Alligator mississippiensis: one gene and its partner. The protein of the gene in region 2 interacts with the protein of the main gene of each other region in a biochemical or structural test. Links are inferred from orthologs where the notes say so. Each region holds a gene or a part of one and is shown on either strand. Other genes may lie near its edges.

Region 1 (7,462 bases), on a different chromosome or scaffold from region 2:
GGGATTGACCTGTCTCAGCCCCAGATCGGCGTGGTCAACGTCACCGATGTGAGTGCCCCAGCCACCGACCTCGCCCCAGCTGTGGCCCTGTGTTGGCCTCCCTGGGGGTTCCTGCCACTCTCCTCTGCTGCCCGCTGGCAGGAGGTGTTGGGACAGCCCCTGGACACTGGGGGTGGGTACACGGCTGCCCTGAGCCCTGGGAGCAGACACGTTCTGTGCCCCGAAATAGCTCGCACCAGAGGGCAGCAGCTCCTCGCTTCAGGGGTAACTGTTCCAGCGCACCAGCTGTGCCCCAGCAGAAGCAGGGACAACGTATATCTGCTCCACGCCACTCAGACCCTGACCTTTGACTCCGGATGGGCCACGTATCTGCTTCTGGCAACAGGTGTGGGGCTGCCCTGGGCTTTACACACATGCTGGAGCGCAGACTGGGAATACGCGTCCGACACACTTTGGTGCCAGGCGTGATGCGCAGCCAGCCGGAGCGCCCTGTATCCAAACCGTCCTGCCACAGGCTCCCTTGGCCTCTCCCAGCTGCCTCTGCCCCCTGTGCTGATCTCTGTGCCCCGGGCCTGGTGCTGGCTGCCCCCTCCCCATGGATTGGCAAGGCCCCTGCCCTGCTTGGACCCATCCCAGGGTCAGTGGCTCTGCAGGCCAGGCAGCTGATTCCCAGCCACACCCCACATGGGACCAGGGGAGCTCTGTCCCTGGACTAGCGATGGGACTGGCTTGTTCCACAGCTAAGACCTGCCCTCTCATGACCTTCTGGGAATAGCCATGCCAGATCCACCAGCCCCCTGTGCCCTCTCCACCTTACCCCTGCGCCCCTCCCCTCTCACAGGCTGACAGCATCTGGATGGAGATGGATGACGAGGAAGACCTGCCCTCGGTAGATGAGCTGGAGGACTGGATCGAGGATGTGCTGGAAGGCGAGATCAACACAGAGGACGATGATGACGACGACGATGATGACGATGACGACGATGACTAGATGTCGTCGCCTCCCTGTTGGGTCTCGCCCGGGGCCACACTCTGCCCGGGCCCACCCAGGGCACCCACGGGGTCTTGGGGGTGGGGTGACAGCAGTGTGTGGCCACGGCCACGTGGCCAGACTCTAGCCGTGGCACATTTTTGTATGGATCCTATTTAAGCCGTCGGCTCCCCGGGAACCACATGCTGCCCCTGACAGGTGCTGGCTTCCTTGGGGGGAGGAACCCCCCAATGCAGCCTGTGCCCCCATCCCCTCCCCCTTCCCAAGGCACTCACAAGGCACGAAACAGGGCTTAGCTGAGCTTTATCTTGGCCTTGTTGCCCTGACACCCCTCCTCGAACAGCTGGGGGGAGTCAGGCCACAGCACAGCCCTGACCCCACTAACCCTCAGGCTAGAGGAAAATCCCCATCCTCTCTCAGCTCTATAGGGCTCATGACACTTGAGTGAGTGGCTCCTGTTGCTACCAGCTGAGGCAACAGTGTCCCATGCACTCAGAGCCAGCTCATGCCAACATGGGACAGAAGCCAGCCCTGAGCCCCACTTCGTGCCCTGCTGGCAGCGTGTGACCCTGTCTTCGGGCTCTCCCTGTGACGGGAGCCCTGCAGCCTGCGGGAAGCAGAGAGGGGTCCTGCTGCAGGCAGACCCCAGCTAGAGCCTGCCCCCTTTCCCCCCCACCCTGCCCCGGGGAGCAACCAATGTGCAATTTGTATATTTATAACCAACTTTGTACAGAGCAACATTGCAACCAGCAAGGCAATAAAACCTGCAGTACGGCGCCCGGCTGGTGAGAGCTGTGTCGGGCCAGACCCATGGGAGGGGAACATGGGGTGGGTTTCTGCGTCTCATTGGAGCTCGTGTGGACTCCAACGAGACTGGGTTTTGGGGCCCTGGGACTCTTCCCTTCTCCTTGGTCCTGGTTTGCGGCTGAACTGAATGGACCGTGCTTGTTGGGCTTTGTTTTTGGGGGTTCACTCCATCTCAGTGCTTCCTGCTACAGGGCGTCCCCAGCCCCATCCTTGGACCTGCTCATGGAGGAGCTGTGAAGACAAGGCCTGCTGGGATATCTGCTGCATTTGGGGGCTAGCACACAGACTGCTATGGGGAGGTGGTGGGGCAGAGGAGCTGCAGCCCACAGTGCCAAGGGTGGGGGAGCAGGGGCAGTTCTCTGCATGCATGGAGGGGCAGTTCCAGCCTTGGCTGCCAGCTGGGGGGCAGCTGCAGAGACCCTGGGACATGTGCTGTAGCTGGGAGGATGTTGGGGTATCACGATGGACCCTCTGCACTGGGGCACCGAAGCCTGGCAGGGTCCCAGCCTGCAGGGCCCTTTCCCTGGGCTGCAGGATGGCAGGTCCCTGGGGGGTGCTGCAGGCTCTGTGCAGGGCATTGCTCACCCTAGTGCCCCATGACAGGGCACTCGATTGCACAGGGCAGACATGGGAGGGCCAGGGGTAGGGGAGCCCAGCTCCCATAGCGTAGCAGTAGGGGCTGCCCAGGGGCCGTGAAGTGGGCGCCACGGTGCTGGACTCACCACTCCTGGATGCCCCCTGATTTCATGGGGATGGAGGCAGAAGCCTGGTGCCCTGGCCTTGCCCAATCCTGGGTAATTTTTTTCCACTACAGTAAAATCCCCCAGAGGTTTCAACTGGAAATGAGATTCTCTTTTCACTTCCTGCCCAAGAGAAACAGAAAGAGACCTCAGTGCCCCGATCACCCACCAGTGTAAGGGGGAGCTAGCAGGCCAGCCTGCTCCCTCCTTGCCCTGGATGGAGCATCTGGGAGCCCCCCCAGTAGCCCCACCCCACTGCCACCACGGGAGGTGGGGAGGCTGGGGCCGTGTATCGCAAGTGGTTGGAGCTGCCAGCCCCGAGCAAGGAAATGGTGGCGGCCATCCAAACAGCTGCGGCTCTGGGTTCACATCGGCCAGCTGCAGCCGCACGCATGGGAATGGATCTGGCCTCCCTGGGGCAGAGGCCGGCAGGCCTGGGCGCTCCCCTCCCTCCACGTGAGGCCCAGCACCCTGCCCAACGTGGGCCTGGCTGCCAGGCTGAGGGCGCCTGCCAGCACCAGATCTCTGGCCCCGGGGAAGTGAAAGCCCCGTCCTCGGCCTGCTTCCTCCTTTCAGTCTCATTTTTGCGTGGCACAAAGGGCGAGGGAGCTGTGGGGGGCGGGACTGCGGCAGTAGTGGGGGGCTCAGGGGCAAGGCCGCTGGGTCCAGGGCCCCGTCTTCAAGGCTGCTTATGCACCGCAGCTGCCAGCCTCTCTGGAGCTGACTCTGCAATACTGGGTGGCGGGCACGTGCCAGCCTGCAAACCACGCAGTCCTGCCACCCATTGCTGCAGGGGAGCGAGGACAAGGCAGGGGGCTGCACTAGTGCAGCAGTGAAGCTGAAGGGAACAGCGTGGCTTGGAGCAGCCCCTCTGGGACCCGGGCTGTCATGGGGGACCCTGCTGCATGTGCCCTGTGGGGCAGGTGGCTCTGGCCTGCCCAGTGCGGGGGGCTGGTGTGACCAAGTCAGATGCCTTGGCCTGGTTTGGTTTGGAGGAAAGGAGCTGAGGTGAAAGAGTAGCGGCCGAGCCTGACCCCATGGAGCTGGGCCCTGCCCCTCTTGCCTGGAGCCCTTGGGCACAGGCTGGCTGTTCAGGCCTCGCCTGGCAGGGATGGAGATGCCAGGGGCAGGGGCAGCTCCCCGCCTCCATCCAGCCAGGAAACACATGTGCACATGTACACCCCCCCCATAAGCATTCCCATGCATACATGCACAAATGCCCATGCACACATGTGTGCACATGCATACACATATGCACACCCCAATGGCCACACATGCACATGCACGCCCACACCCACACATATATGTATATACATGCAGGCACAAATGCACACACACACATGCCCACACATATATGTACATACACGCAGACACAAATGCACACATGCATACTTGCACACACACATGCCCACACATATGTACACACATGCAGACACAAATGCACACGTGCATACCCACACACACATACTTGCACACACACACACACGCCCACACATATATGTATATACACGCAGGCACAAATGCACCCCCACATACTTGCACACACACGCACATGCCCACATACATGTACATACATACATGCAGGCACACATGCACACACGCGCACGCCCACACTTGCACAGACGCGCGCACACTATGTACAATCACGTGGGCACAAATGCACACACACACGCAGGCCCACACGCACATACTTGCACATGCACACATTCATGGATGTTCATGCATGCACGCGCCCACGAATGCCCACACACGCTCGCACACTGATGCGTGTGTCCGCACAATCACACACACGCATGTGCCCAGACACACACACACGCAGGCACGCACACCGACACGCGCACACACGGGCGGCCCCGCGCGGCCGGAGCACAAAGGCGCCCGGTGACGTCACCGCCCCGCCCGCCCCGCGCAGGAGGAGCCGCCGCCCGGCGCAGACCGCGATCAGCCCCGCAGCCGCCGAGCGGTGAGTGCCGGCCGGCCGGGCCGGGCCGCGGGGCGGGGGGAGGCGCCGCGCGCGGGAGCCGGGGTGCCCGGGAGCGGGGCGTGCGGGAGGTGCCCGATGCCGCGTGCGGGAGCAGCCGGGGTGCGGGCGGCTCAGGGCAGCCGCCGCCCCGCCTCGTGCCTGCCCGGGGGTGCAGCGGTGCGGTGCGGTGCGGTGCGGTGCGGTGCTGGCCGCTGCCCGCTCCCCTGCCCTGCCCCACAGTCCCGCGCCCGCGCCACGCAGCAGGATGCTCCCGGGCACCGGGGCAAGGGCAGGCCTGCAGCCCCTCGCCCCCCGCGCCAGCACGGAGACGGGGCCCGGGGTCCGGCCTGCCCCTGCCCCTGCCCCTGCCCCGCGCGCTGGGCGGCACCGGACTGGTCGCCTGATCTCTGCCCACGGGCTGTCAAGCCGGGCGTGGCCGGGCGAGGCAGTGGTGTCTAGGAGTTGGGGCTGGGGGCTGCCTGGCAGGGGTTAGAGCTCCCCGGACTCCTGCTTTCCGTGCCCGGTTCGTGCGTGGCGTTTTCTGCACGTGCGGGTCTGGGCTCGGTCTCCCTGTCCGGTGCCCGGGCGGCGGCCGAGGGAGGGGCAGTGGGCAGAGGGCGCGTGCGGGGGGCACCAGGCTGGTGCTCGCGGCGCGCTCCGTCATGTGGCGGCTCTGTGCAGGGCGCTGGTGCCTCGAGGTGGCCAAACCCGGGTCCGGGGGTGGGGGGACCCAGCGCCGTGGGAATGGCTCGCTGGAGGGCGTGGGGCCAGTCTGGTGGGAGCTGGCCCCAGACTTGATGTCATCTCCTGGGACCTCTCGCGGCCCCGCAGGGCAGTGCTGGAGGACGTCCTTCAGCTTGTCCAGAGCCCTTGGCCCCGCGCCGTGATGTCCTGGGGCAGCTTCCGTGTGCCTTGGCTGGCCCCCCTGGGACTTGGGGGTCTCCCGATGGGGTCCCCGTCCGGGCACCTGGCTGTGGGCTGCTCCGTCCCCGTTCTGTGAAGAGTCCCCCGTTTGCCCTCCATGGACCCCACGTGTCAGGGGCCGGGTGGTTGGGGTTGGGGCTGCTCCTCCCTTTGTTTTGGGAACCGGCCTCTCAAAGGCATCTTGGCTTGGGCCCCTTCCTCACGCCCCCATGCCCAGTTGATGCCAGGGCTGGACGTGCGACTGGCAGGCCTGGCTTCCTCGCCCTGAGGTCTGGCTCCAGCGCCATGCCCTGGAGCCCGCTCCATCCACGCCGGGAGCAGCAGGCTGACTCTGGTGGTGGGGCTGGGGCACCTGCCATGGGCATCTGGCGGGGCCTGGCTTGGGGGGCTCTGGGCTCAGGGCAAGGCCTCGTGATGCCGGCAGGCCAGAAGGGGGCTGGGAGTGGAGCTGCCCGTCCTGTAATCTGCGCGCGGCTAAACAATCACGGTTAAACAATCACGGCGGAAATTGCCAGCTGTGCTCGTCGCCGCTCCTTCACACGCCGCCGTGGCACTGGTCCCCTCCTCCCATGGGGCCGCCGTGTCAGCCCCCCTTGCCAGCCTCCCTAGCTGGCACCGGGTCTGCAAGTGGGCACACGTGTGTGCCTGAGCAGCCTCCGCCCCCCCCCCCCCAATTGCCCTGCTAGGCCAACTCTGTGCTGTGGCAGCTTGTGGCCCTGCACGGCTATGGTCGGGGCACTCGTGGTGCCGGGCGCTGCATGGAGAAAGCAGAGGCTATCACGGCCAGGCAGATGAGGCAGGCAGAGGCTGGGAGGGGGAAACTGAGGCATGGGGTGGCCACATCCCCCCGTAGGCCAGTGGCAGAGCCAGGGGGAGCAGGCAGGCAGGGGTCCATTCTGGTGCTGGTGAGGATGCAGTGGGGGGGATTTGGGGGCCCTGCCAGGCTCCCTGCCCCGCTCAGCTGTATTTGCATACATGGGAACTTAACCCTTTCCCATCCTAAACAGAGCCTGCCCACAGGGCCGGATCCCTGGAGCCCGTCATGTTCCCAGCCTGCACGCTCACGCGCTCGCAGTCATTTCACAGCCGCCACTTGTGTGACAGTCAGTGCACACTTCCCCCTGGGCTCAACATGGCCCACAATTGTGATGTACACCCCAGCACCCTGCCACGCGCAGGGCACGCTCCGTGTCTGCATGCAGTGCACACTCACCATCCGTGCGGATGCATGTGCAGGCTCAGCGCACACTTTCACGTGTGTGTGCCCACGCTCGAATGAACATGTACAGATGTTCCCATGTGAACATGCCTAGTCCCCCTACCGCAGGTGTCTGGCAGCGATGCTCCGTGGAAGGGTTGAGGTCAGACAGGCACCATGGGGCATCCTTTGGCCCCACAGTAGACGCCCCATGGTACCCATCTTACCTCCACCTAGCCGGGGGAGCATCGCTGCCAGGCAGCTAGGGCAGGGGGACTATGCATGTTCACATGGGTATGCACGTGAAAGTTATGCCTCCCTTCCTCAGGGAGATGAGGCCTCCCCTGTGCCCAGCCCTGCTGCCCCTAGGCTGGGCCGTACCTGCCCCTGCGAGTAGCTTCCCAGCACTGGAGGAGGCAGCCTCTGTCTCTGCCTTTTTCCCGCAGTCCTTCATCCAGCCAATCCTCGCTGCAGCCCTGGAGCCGCGACTTGGGACCACATCGCCCCCGCAGAGACGGCGCACTGTGATCCTGCCACCCCCAGTCTCTAATTATCTCTCCCAGATGCAGTGCCCAGGTGCCCACACCAGCCACATCCAGGCCCGGTGAGGCCTCTAATTACAGCCATATTCGCCCCAGCCCCAGGCAGGGCAGGGAGTGGCATTGAAACTGCTGCGAGTGGCATTGGATCACAGGAGGGAAACTAAGGCACGGGGAGAAAGTGATTGTGCAAGTGAGCTGGGAACAGAGCCCAGGAGTCCTGCTTGGCTCCCCACTTCCACAGCTGGGAGTAGGGAACCCAGGAGTCCTGGCTCCTGGTCCCTCTTGCCCTACAACGGT
Region 2 (7,923 bases):
GCTAGTAAAGACCAATGCTAGAAGCATAATGTTTCTGAAAAAATAAGGTTTCTAAAATATGAACTTACATGCCTATAGTTATATGCCAATATTTGAAGTTTTTTACCACTTTGCCTATTTCACACATGCAGCATCTGCACTATAAACCCTGCTTTTTAAGACAGATACCAGTTAAGGAACTTGAGGCAAAACCTAAGGTGATGTCAATTATCACAGCTTTGAAGGCTAATGGGACTATACTGATTTGCAACAATGGAGAACATTTAGTATACCAAATTATTTCTAATAGCGCTTCTTTAAAAATTGCTACCCCAGAATTTCATATCATATAGCCGCCAAGACCATAAACAAGATCAGTGCGCCCTGCTTTATTACTTGCTGTAGAAAAAAAATCAACCTAGGAGTTCATCTTTGATACTGTATAAATTTATGCTTGTATTGCAAGCTTTTTCAGTTGTATATATTTCCTCTTAGAAGAAGAACCACTATCCACAGTAATGGTATAATTTAAAGCAAGAGAAAGGTCTGCTATTACTAATTCATTGGAACAGCACCTTGGCCTGCATGAATCAGTTTATACCGCAGGGACCTCTATCAGTACAAATGTCCAGACCTGAATACTTTAGGACTTAGTGCATCTCTATGAAATAGTAAGTTTATTGAGACATCAGTGGTGTTTTACAAAAGTTGTTAATGAGAGAGTTCATGTACCTCTACAGAGGCCAAATCATAATGTTGCTCCACAGGGGCCAAAAATCTACCACAAGTTTGTAGAGGCATACAGCTCAGGCAGGATCAAAAATTCATGGACAATAAATCTATTAATAGCTGTTAAACAGAGCAGTCAGAGATGGATCCTCTGGCATCTCTAAACCAAGGATGGTGGATGCTAGGGAGTGTGATGAATAGGGCATGGATCACTCTAGATATGCCCAGTTCATTCTTCCTCTAAAGCAGCATTACTCAAAAGGGGTCACAAGAATATATGAAAGGGTCATGAACAAACTTTAAAAATTATTTTCCTTTAAAGGAGAAAAGTGTGAATAATGGTGGCATTCCCCTTGCAGGCTGCCAGAGTTATAGCCTGCAAAGGGCTGCTTGGGGCCCCCACCCCACCCCCTTGCCCCACACACTGGGGGGCTGGGGCTAGTGGGTCAGGAGTGAGAAGCACTAGGTCGGGACAGGCCATTGATATTTACAAATGGGTCCTGGTACAACAAAAAAAAGGTTGAAAACCGCTGCTCTAAAGGAGTGGCTCCCAACCCTGCTACACTTGAGGCAACCCTCATAGCTTCAAGAATTTTGCAGCACACCATTTCAAAAACTAGTGTATTTATTACAGTGTTTATGTCCTTGCAGCAGGGCCATGCAATCGAGGTGGGGGGAACAGCCACGCAGGGAGGGCCTCAGCCTGCCCTTACCTGCTTATCTTCCTATACTTCCTGTGGCACCTGGGGTTGACAACTACTGCTCTAAGGCATCAGCTTTTGCCAGTGTTGGAGACAGGCTAGTGGCCTAGTATGGCACTTCTTATGTTTTTCACGTAGAAGCCTTGACCATGGCTCTGATGCTGCAATTAGAAGTGCACAGTGCCCCTGATAAAGGTTAATTTGTGGGAACTGAAAACATGGAGTAAGTATTTAGGTCACTGGTTGAGGTCCTTGATTAACCTGAGCATTTGGAAAATCAATCAATCAATCAATCAAGTCAAGAAACAGCAGGATATACTGAATTCAAGGAATTGTTACAGGCATTTTCTATTAAAAAAAGAGAAGAATGTCAAATCTTTAAAAACAGAGCATATTTTGAATTTAGGATTGAGGATGTGGGCAAGTTCTAGAAACAACTCTTACAAAAGGATACATTTGTACATATACACACACATGTATGTACGTATATACATACAAGTCTTGACAATTAATATAATATGAAATTACGGGGTAGCAATTTTAAAAGATGGAATACTAGAAATAAATTTAGTATACTAAATCTTCTCCATTGTTGCAAATCAGTATAGTCCCATTGGCCTTTAAAACTGATTTTATATACATGTACATATTACGTGTGTGTGTAGATATATAATGTATCCTTTTGTAAAAGTTTTATTACACACACACACACACACACACACACACACTTGGTTTAATAAAAGATATCAGATTCACCCAAAGAACCTTGTTCTCCTTTTGCAAGGTGCGTTTCTAAAATATGCCCACAAATTTCACATATATGCTAGAGGCAAACTGGTTTCCAGTCAAAAGGACCACCCTACACGAGGGAGATTAAAACGACTCTTCACCAACTCTAAGTCTTCACCAGACATAAAGAGCGGTTTCCCCAGCGCTCCCAGCAGTTACCTTTCAGCTGGAAAATTTTACCCCACTCCCGTGCGGGGAGAAAACACCCCGAGAGTGACAGACAGGTACTTTAAACTAGGCTTGAGAAACGGGAACAGCAGATCCGCCTGCCAGCCAACGAAGCCGTCTCCTCTGAAGTAACCCAAGGACAGCGGCGAGCCGGGGGAGAAACCTCTCCCCAGCCTCCCGAGCCGGAAGGGCTTGGAGCGCCGCCAAGTCTGGGCGCGAGGCAGAATAGGGGCACCTCCAGCGCCGCCCGGCCCCGGCCCCGGCCCCAGCCCCAGCCCCGCGGCTTCACGTTACTAAGTCCGCGCGGCCCCACTCCCCACGGGCTGGCGGCAAGGGGCGCTCCCCCTCGTCCGGCGCGGGGGCCCGGCGGGAAGTGCGGGCGCAGGGTCAAGAGAAAGAGGAGGGGAGCGGGACACACACGGACACAAGGGGGGGGCGGTACCTCGGCTCCGCTCTCGGCCGCGCTCTCCACAGCCATCTTCTGCCAGGGGTCCGCCAGCTGCGCCAGCGGCATCTTCCCGCCCGCCCGCGCGCCCCGGCTCCCAACCGGCCGAGCACGAAGACACGGCAGGGGAGGAGCGGGCAAGACCGCGGGCTGCCCCGGCCCCGGCTGCGGGTCCCACTGCTACCGCCGCGTCCCGCTCCTGCCAGGCAGAGCCGCCCTCCCCCCGCACCGCTTCCGCTCCCGCTCCCGCTCCCGCTCACCAACATGGCGCCCGGGCCATACCTGCCCGTCAAACCGAGGCTGTGCACGTCAGCAGCGGGGCGGGGCTGTAGCGGCCAATCCGCGACGCCGGCAGGTAGCGGGGGGCGGAGTCAGTGGCGGGCAGTAGGGGGGCGGGGGGAGTTCCGTTCCTGCGTGGGCGGGGGTGGGGGGAGGGGCCCGGGGCGTCCTGTGGGGGCGGGGAGAGGCGTTGCTGGCTGTGTGCACACCGCTCGCGCAGGGTCCGAGTGTGTCCGGTTCCGCCCAGCCCCGCCTGGGGCGGTCCTTAAAGTCGCCTGGTAGTTGTTACTCCTAGTCAGTCCGGTTGGGCAAAAGACAGGCAGCCTGCCGGACGTTGCCTCTCCTCAAGTCATTTGTGGGCCATCAGAGTTGCCACTACCCTTAGGCTACTGTGACACCCCTCCAGCACTCCCCTTACACTATCATGACACCCCTCTAATGCTACCATGACACTACCATGACACCCCTCTGCCACCTCCCTTATGCTACCATCACACCCCTCCAACACTACCATGATGATACCATGACCCCCCTCCGACACCACCCTTAACACTACCGTGACACCCCTTGGAAGCTACCATGACACCCCTCTAACACCACACTTTCAGAGAAAAAAGCGTTAAAACTCCCAGCATTAGCGCAGCCTAAGCCTATGCTCAGAGGCATGTAGGTAGGGGGGCACAGACAGCAGCCTTGCCTTGTCCAAACGGAGCACTAGAGATATTTCCATTTGCTGACTGTGTTTCTTTCTCTGTGGCCCAATTTGCTGATGTGAGCCCACAACTGGGTGGAGTAGCCAGATCCATAAGGGGCACAGCTAGAGCCCCAGGTCAGCTGTGAACTTCTCTGCCTGCCGTCATTGTGGGGAGTGGATGTTTTTGGTCAGCCTTTGCAGGGAGCAAGTCAGTCAGACCCCTTGTGTTGCTTCTGAGTGACTGGTTCTTACCTCCACAAGATTTCCTCAGGAAAGCTAATGGCTCCTCTGCACAGTGAAGCTTACTGGGACTAAGGGAGGGCATAGGTTTGAAGTGAAGTAGCTCTTCCTGGTTAATTCCCTGTGTGGGTCCTCTTCTTTTCTGGAAAAGGCACCTCTATAAAGTAAGTCCATCAGGAATAGCTTCCTGTGTAAAAGACCCCTTTGGTGCCTGTAATCCTCCTCTTGGGCTAAAACACACAACTGGGTTGATTTGTATCAGAGTATTTTTGTGCCAGGTCAGATCCAAACATGATAGTCAACCAAACTCAATGTCCAGCATTAAGTGCCTGAGAAGTGTCCGAATTAGAACTTTGCCTGAGAACAATCGTGGCTAATTGCCATTGATTCCCATTTAAGCCTCCTGTGTAAATGACTGTCCCCAAGCCTGCTTTGATGTCAGTCATATCTCTGATGACTCAGCCCCTGATTAAATCAGTCCTGTGTTTCTAGGCTTTGCAAACTTTGTTCAGCACTTCTACTAACTGTGCTTTGGCTGACAGTAACAGACACATCTGTGATCATGTAGCACTTGTAGCCAATTCATACACCTTTGCTTACACATCTATGCTCTTCTGCACAACCAGTGCAGAAAATCCTAATATAGACAACCTAGAAATTCCTAGACTCTCCTTAGACAGCTTGCATACTCAGCCAAAGCTTAGGCAAATGTAAGAGGAAGAGACAAGAAGGGGTTTTTAAGAGAAGAGTCAAGTGAAAAATATTGTGCAGTTAGAGTAAAGGAAGGACTGGGAGGAAAAGATATCACTAGATAGAAGGAAATGGTGATTACTGATTAGGCAAATAAAGGGGAGGGAAATGAGAGTAATGACAAGTAATTTTTAAAAGAAAAAAATGCTTTGAACGACAATTTGATCAACAATATTACACTTTAACTAGTAGTTTATTTCCAGCAAGTTCAAGTTATTTAAAAGTCTTCCCAGATTTTCATAGGGTGTAGGGAATGGATGTCACACATGTTTTATCCCCTGACTATCAACTTCAGCTTAAAATAATCTTTGACTTTTAGCTGATTATGCGGCCTGATATGACCATACTGAGTATAATGTGCTTACACTTCTATTTGGTAGCATTTTTCAAATGCTTTGCCTTCACACACAAGTAAGTGACTATGGAAAGGTCTAAAGCAGACAAGAATTAGATTATTTTTGTTAACGAACAAAACCCTTATTTCTGCCTAGAACCCTGCTTTTAGAATAGGAAGAGACTGACTCTGGCCAACTATTGCTCTGAAGTACAGGATAAGGTAATGGAAAAGAGAAATAAATCACTAATGTTTGACAGTAATTAAGCTTAGGTACATCATGAGGAATGTTTCTTAGAAACTGACCAGAACACTAACAATCTCAAGCCTTCCTTTTTAAGGTTGGCTACTGGAACAGTGAGTAGACTGTTGAAATATAGAGTGATTGTAAATATCTTTGAAACACAAATAAATACTTCCCATCTCCAGGGTGAGATAACACCTGTATCTTCAAAAAGCGAGCAAACTCCTCCCTCCCTAGTTTTAAATGTATTATTGAAAGGCATTTCTTTTCCTATATACTGGAATAATTTGGTTTATTACAGCTACTTTATTTATACTGGTGTAAATATTTATTTATACTGGTGTAAATACTTTATTTATACTGGAAATCCACAGCCACACAGCAGAGAATTCCAACCCATGAGAGAAAAGTTAGCAGGAGCTACAGCTGCCACCTCAGCTCATATGTGGTGAAACCTAAAAAAAACCCAACCCCTCTTTCAGGCTGATCAACTAGCAAAGACTATCTTGCCATGTAGAGTTGACAGTCTCCTATACACTTTGGCATTTCCCCTCTTCCATTGGCATCTGGCCTAAACTGAGCTCACAATTTGAAGGAGGTCTGGGTAGGAGGAAGGAGAGGGAGGAGAGTAGCATGTCTAGTCAGTTGTGTCCTAAGACAGTGGTTTACCAACATGTTTACTTTTTTCTATGCTTTGTGAATCCAGAAGAAAAAAGACAAAGAACAGGATATCAAGTACTAATGGGTATAACAGCAATAAACAATACAGAACTATATATCATGCCTTGATTGTTTTCTCACAAGATCAGTGCAACAACAGCCATTTAAACCATCACCTTACCTCATTACTGTTGGTCCAGTTCTTGATGCAAAAATCTGCAACAGCATTGTATTCACACAGACCATTTTTATAAAGTATATTCAGTTGCCATTTCATTTGAACACATTTCTGTCCACCCATTCTTTGCAATTTTAAGGCAGAAAGTACAACTAACTACCACTATTTGCAAGTTTATGAGACTGAAATTACCTGCTGCAACAACAAACAAGAAGCAGAATGATGTAAGTCACATTCTCTACCTACCTCATCTCCCTCCCTTGTATAATTTAGGTACTTTATTTTGACATAGAGGCGTTCACAAGTATTATGTAGAAAATACCATGGAATGGAAATGGTAGTATTCTGGTACGGTTACCTTCATGTAAGAAACATTAATTGCAACGTGATGTAAAGTACCAAGTCTTCACCATTTTTGGTACTTCAGCCATAGTAAAGCTACAATGCCATCTTGCACTGAGGGTAGGCAGTGACTTGCTAGATGGCTCACTTGTCTATTTCTACTCTTGCAGATGAAGGAGTGGGACCTAACTGATGGTCAGTGACACAGAATACTGCAGTAAGGCAGTATTGACACTTTGGTGATGTTTAGTGCTACATCTGCTATGAATAGGGTGGTTTGTATTCTCATTTATAGTAATATTTTAAACAAAACCAATGAGCATAATAGTTACATATAAATTCAAGGAGGTCTTTGTTGGAAAACTCTAGCCGTACCTCCAAGGAGGAAGAGAGAGACTGGGATGAAATTATAGTTTCATTACAGTCAAAGGCAAAACTTCAGGTTATTGCACCCTGGTTAGAAGCCTGCCTCCACTGAGCATAGTGCTACATTTATAAAACACTTCTTGACTCTCTCACAAGGCTGTTAAAGAGAATATATTTTTGGGGGTTCCTGTGATAATATTTGGGAAAATACATTAAAAAATATAAATAGAAAAGTTCCTCCAGTATTTATAGAGTAATCACTCAAACTTACTTTTTTATAAAGCATATAGTACTACACTAGATGCAACTGTAGTTGCACTACAGTTCATACTCCATCATAACTTACAGCTTCGTAAGTGTAAGACAGGAAGAAGTAAATAAATTACAATACTAAATAAATTTCAGTTGTTCAGATATTGCAACTGGAGTGATGTATAGTGAATTCAAATATCTTTCAATGGTTTTTATTATCTCAGGCAAGAAACTCTTGATAGAATTTAAATGTACAGAAATTATCATTCCATAGTCTGTGGATGAAAGCTGGGAATAAATTTGTTTCTATGGGAAAAATGCTAAAAGGATTGAAGTGGAAGTTGACAATAGACTCTATTAGATTTACACTGTTTGGGGAAGTCTGTCTTACTCTCAGGACACCTTGATTCAATTCTTATGCACAGTTGTCCTTTGTGATATGAGGCAAGTCATTATTTTTTTTCTTAACCCAGTTTCTCATTTACATTAAAGCTGCTTTAGGCTGCTCTTAACAGTGTGTCTTGAAGTGAGAGTTAGAGGGATTTAAATTTATGCTGTCACAGCAGTTTTTAGGGGCCTTGGTGGAAATGAGAATTAGTCTCTCTTTGTGCCTCAGTTCTAAGGTGGATACAATGGGGATGATACTTCCCTGTCTCATAGGGATGTTGCAAGGTTATGGTTATTAACGTTTGGAAAGTTGTCAGAAACCTCAGCGATGAGGAGCAGCAAGCAGAATCTTGGTGCTGAAAGGCAGATCCTCAATTTGAAACCCA

The links.
Region 1: the proteins of RPS6KA3 (region 2) and PEA15 form a complex in vitro, tested with the Homo sapiens proteins (2 studies listed by BioGRID). The link is inferred for Alligator mississippiensis from reciprocal best matches to the Homo sapiens genes RPS6KA3 and PEA15.

Annotation. Positions count from the first base shown.
Region 1 is NC_081838.1:21,050,807-21,058,268, forward strand, and holds the start of PEA15 (astrocytic phosphoprotein PEA-15), read left to right. Parts: upstream 1-4,417; 5' UTR 4,418-4,501; intron 4,502-7,462. Other genes in the region: CASQ1 (calsequestrin-1), read left to right, coding at 1-48, 842-991. UniProt on the Homo sapiens protein: Blocks Ras-mediated inhibition of integrin activation and modulates the ERK MAP kinase cascade. Inhibits RPS6KA3 activities by retaining it in the cytoplasm. Inhibits both TNFRSF6- and TNFRSF1A-mediated CASP8 activity and apoptosis.
Region 2 is NC_081824.1:318,755,173-318,763,095, reverse strand, and holds the start of RPS6KA3 (ribosomal protein S6 kinase alpha-3), read right to left. Parts: upstream 3,048-7,923; 5' UTR 2,881-3,047; coding exon 2,809-2,880; intron 1-2,808. UniProt on the Homo sapiens protein: Serine/threonine-protein kinase that acts downstream of ERK (MAPK1/ERK2 and MAPK3/ERK1) signaling and mediates mitogenic and stress-induced activation of the transcription factors CREB1, ETV1/ER81 and NR4A1/NUR77, regulates translation through RPS6 and EIF4B phosphorylation, and mediates cellular proliferation, survival, and differentiation by modulating mTOR signaling and repressing pro-apoptotic function of BAD and DAPK1.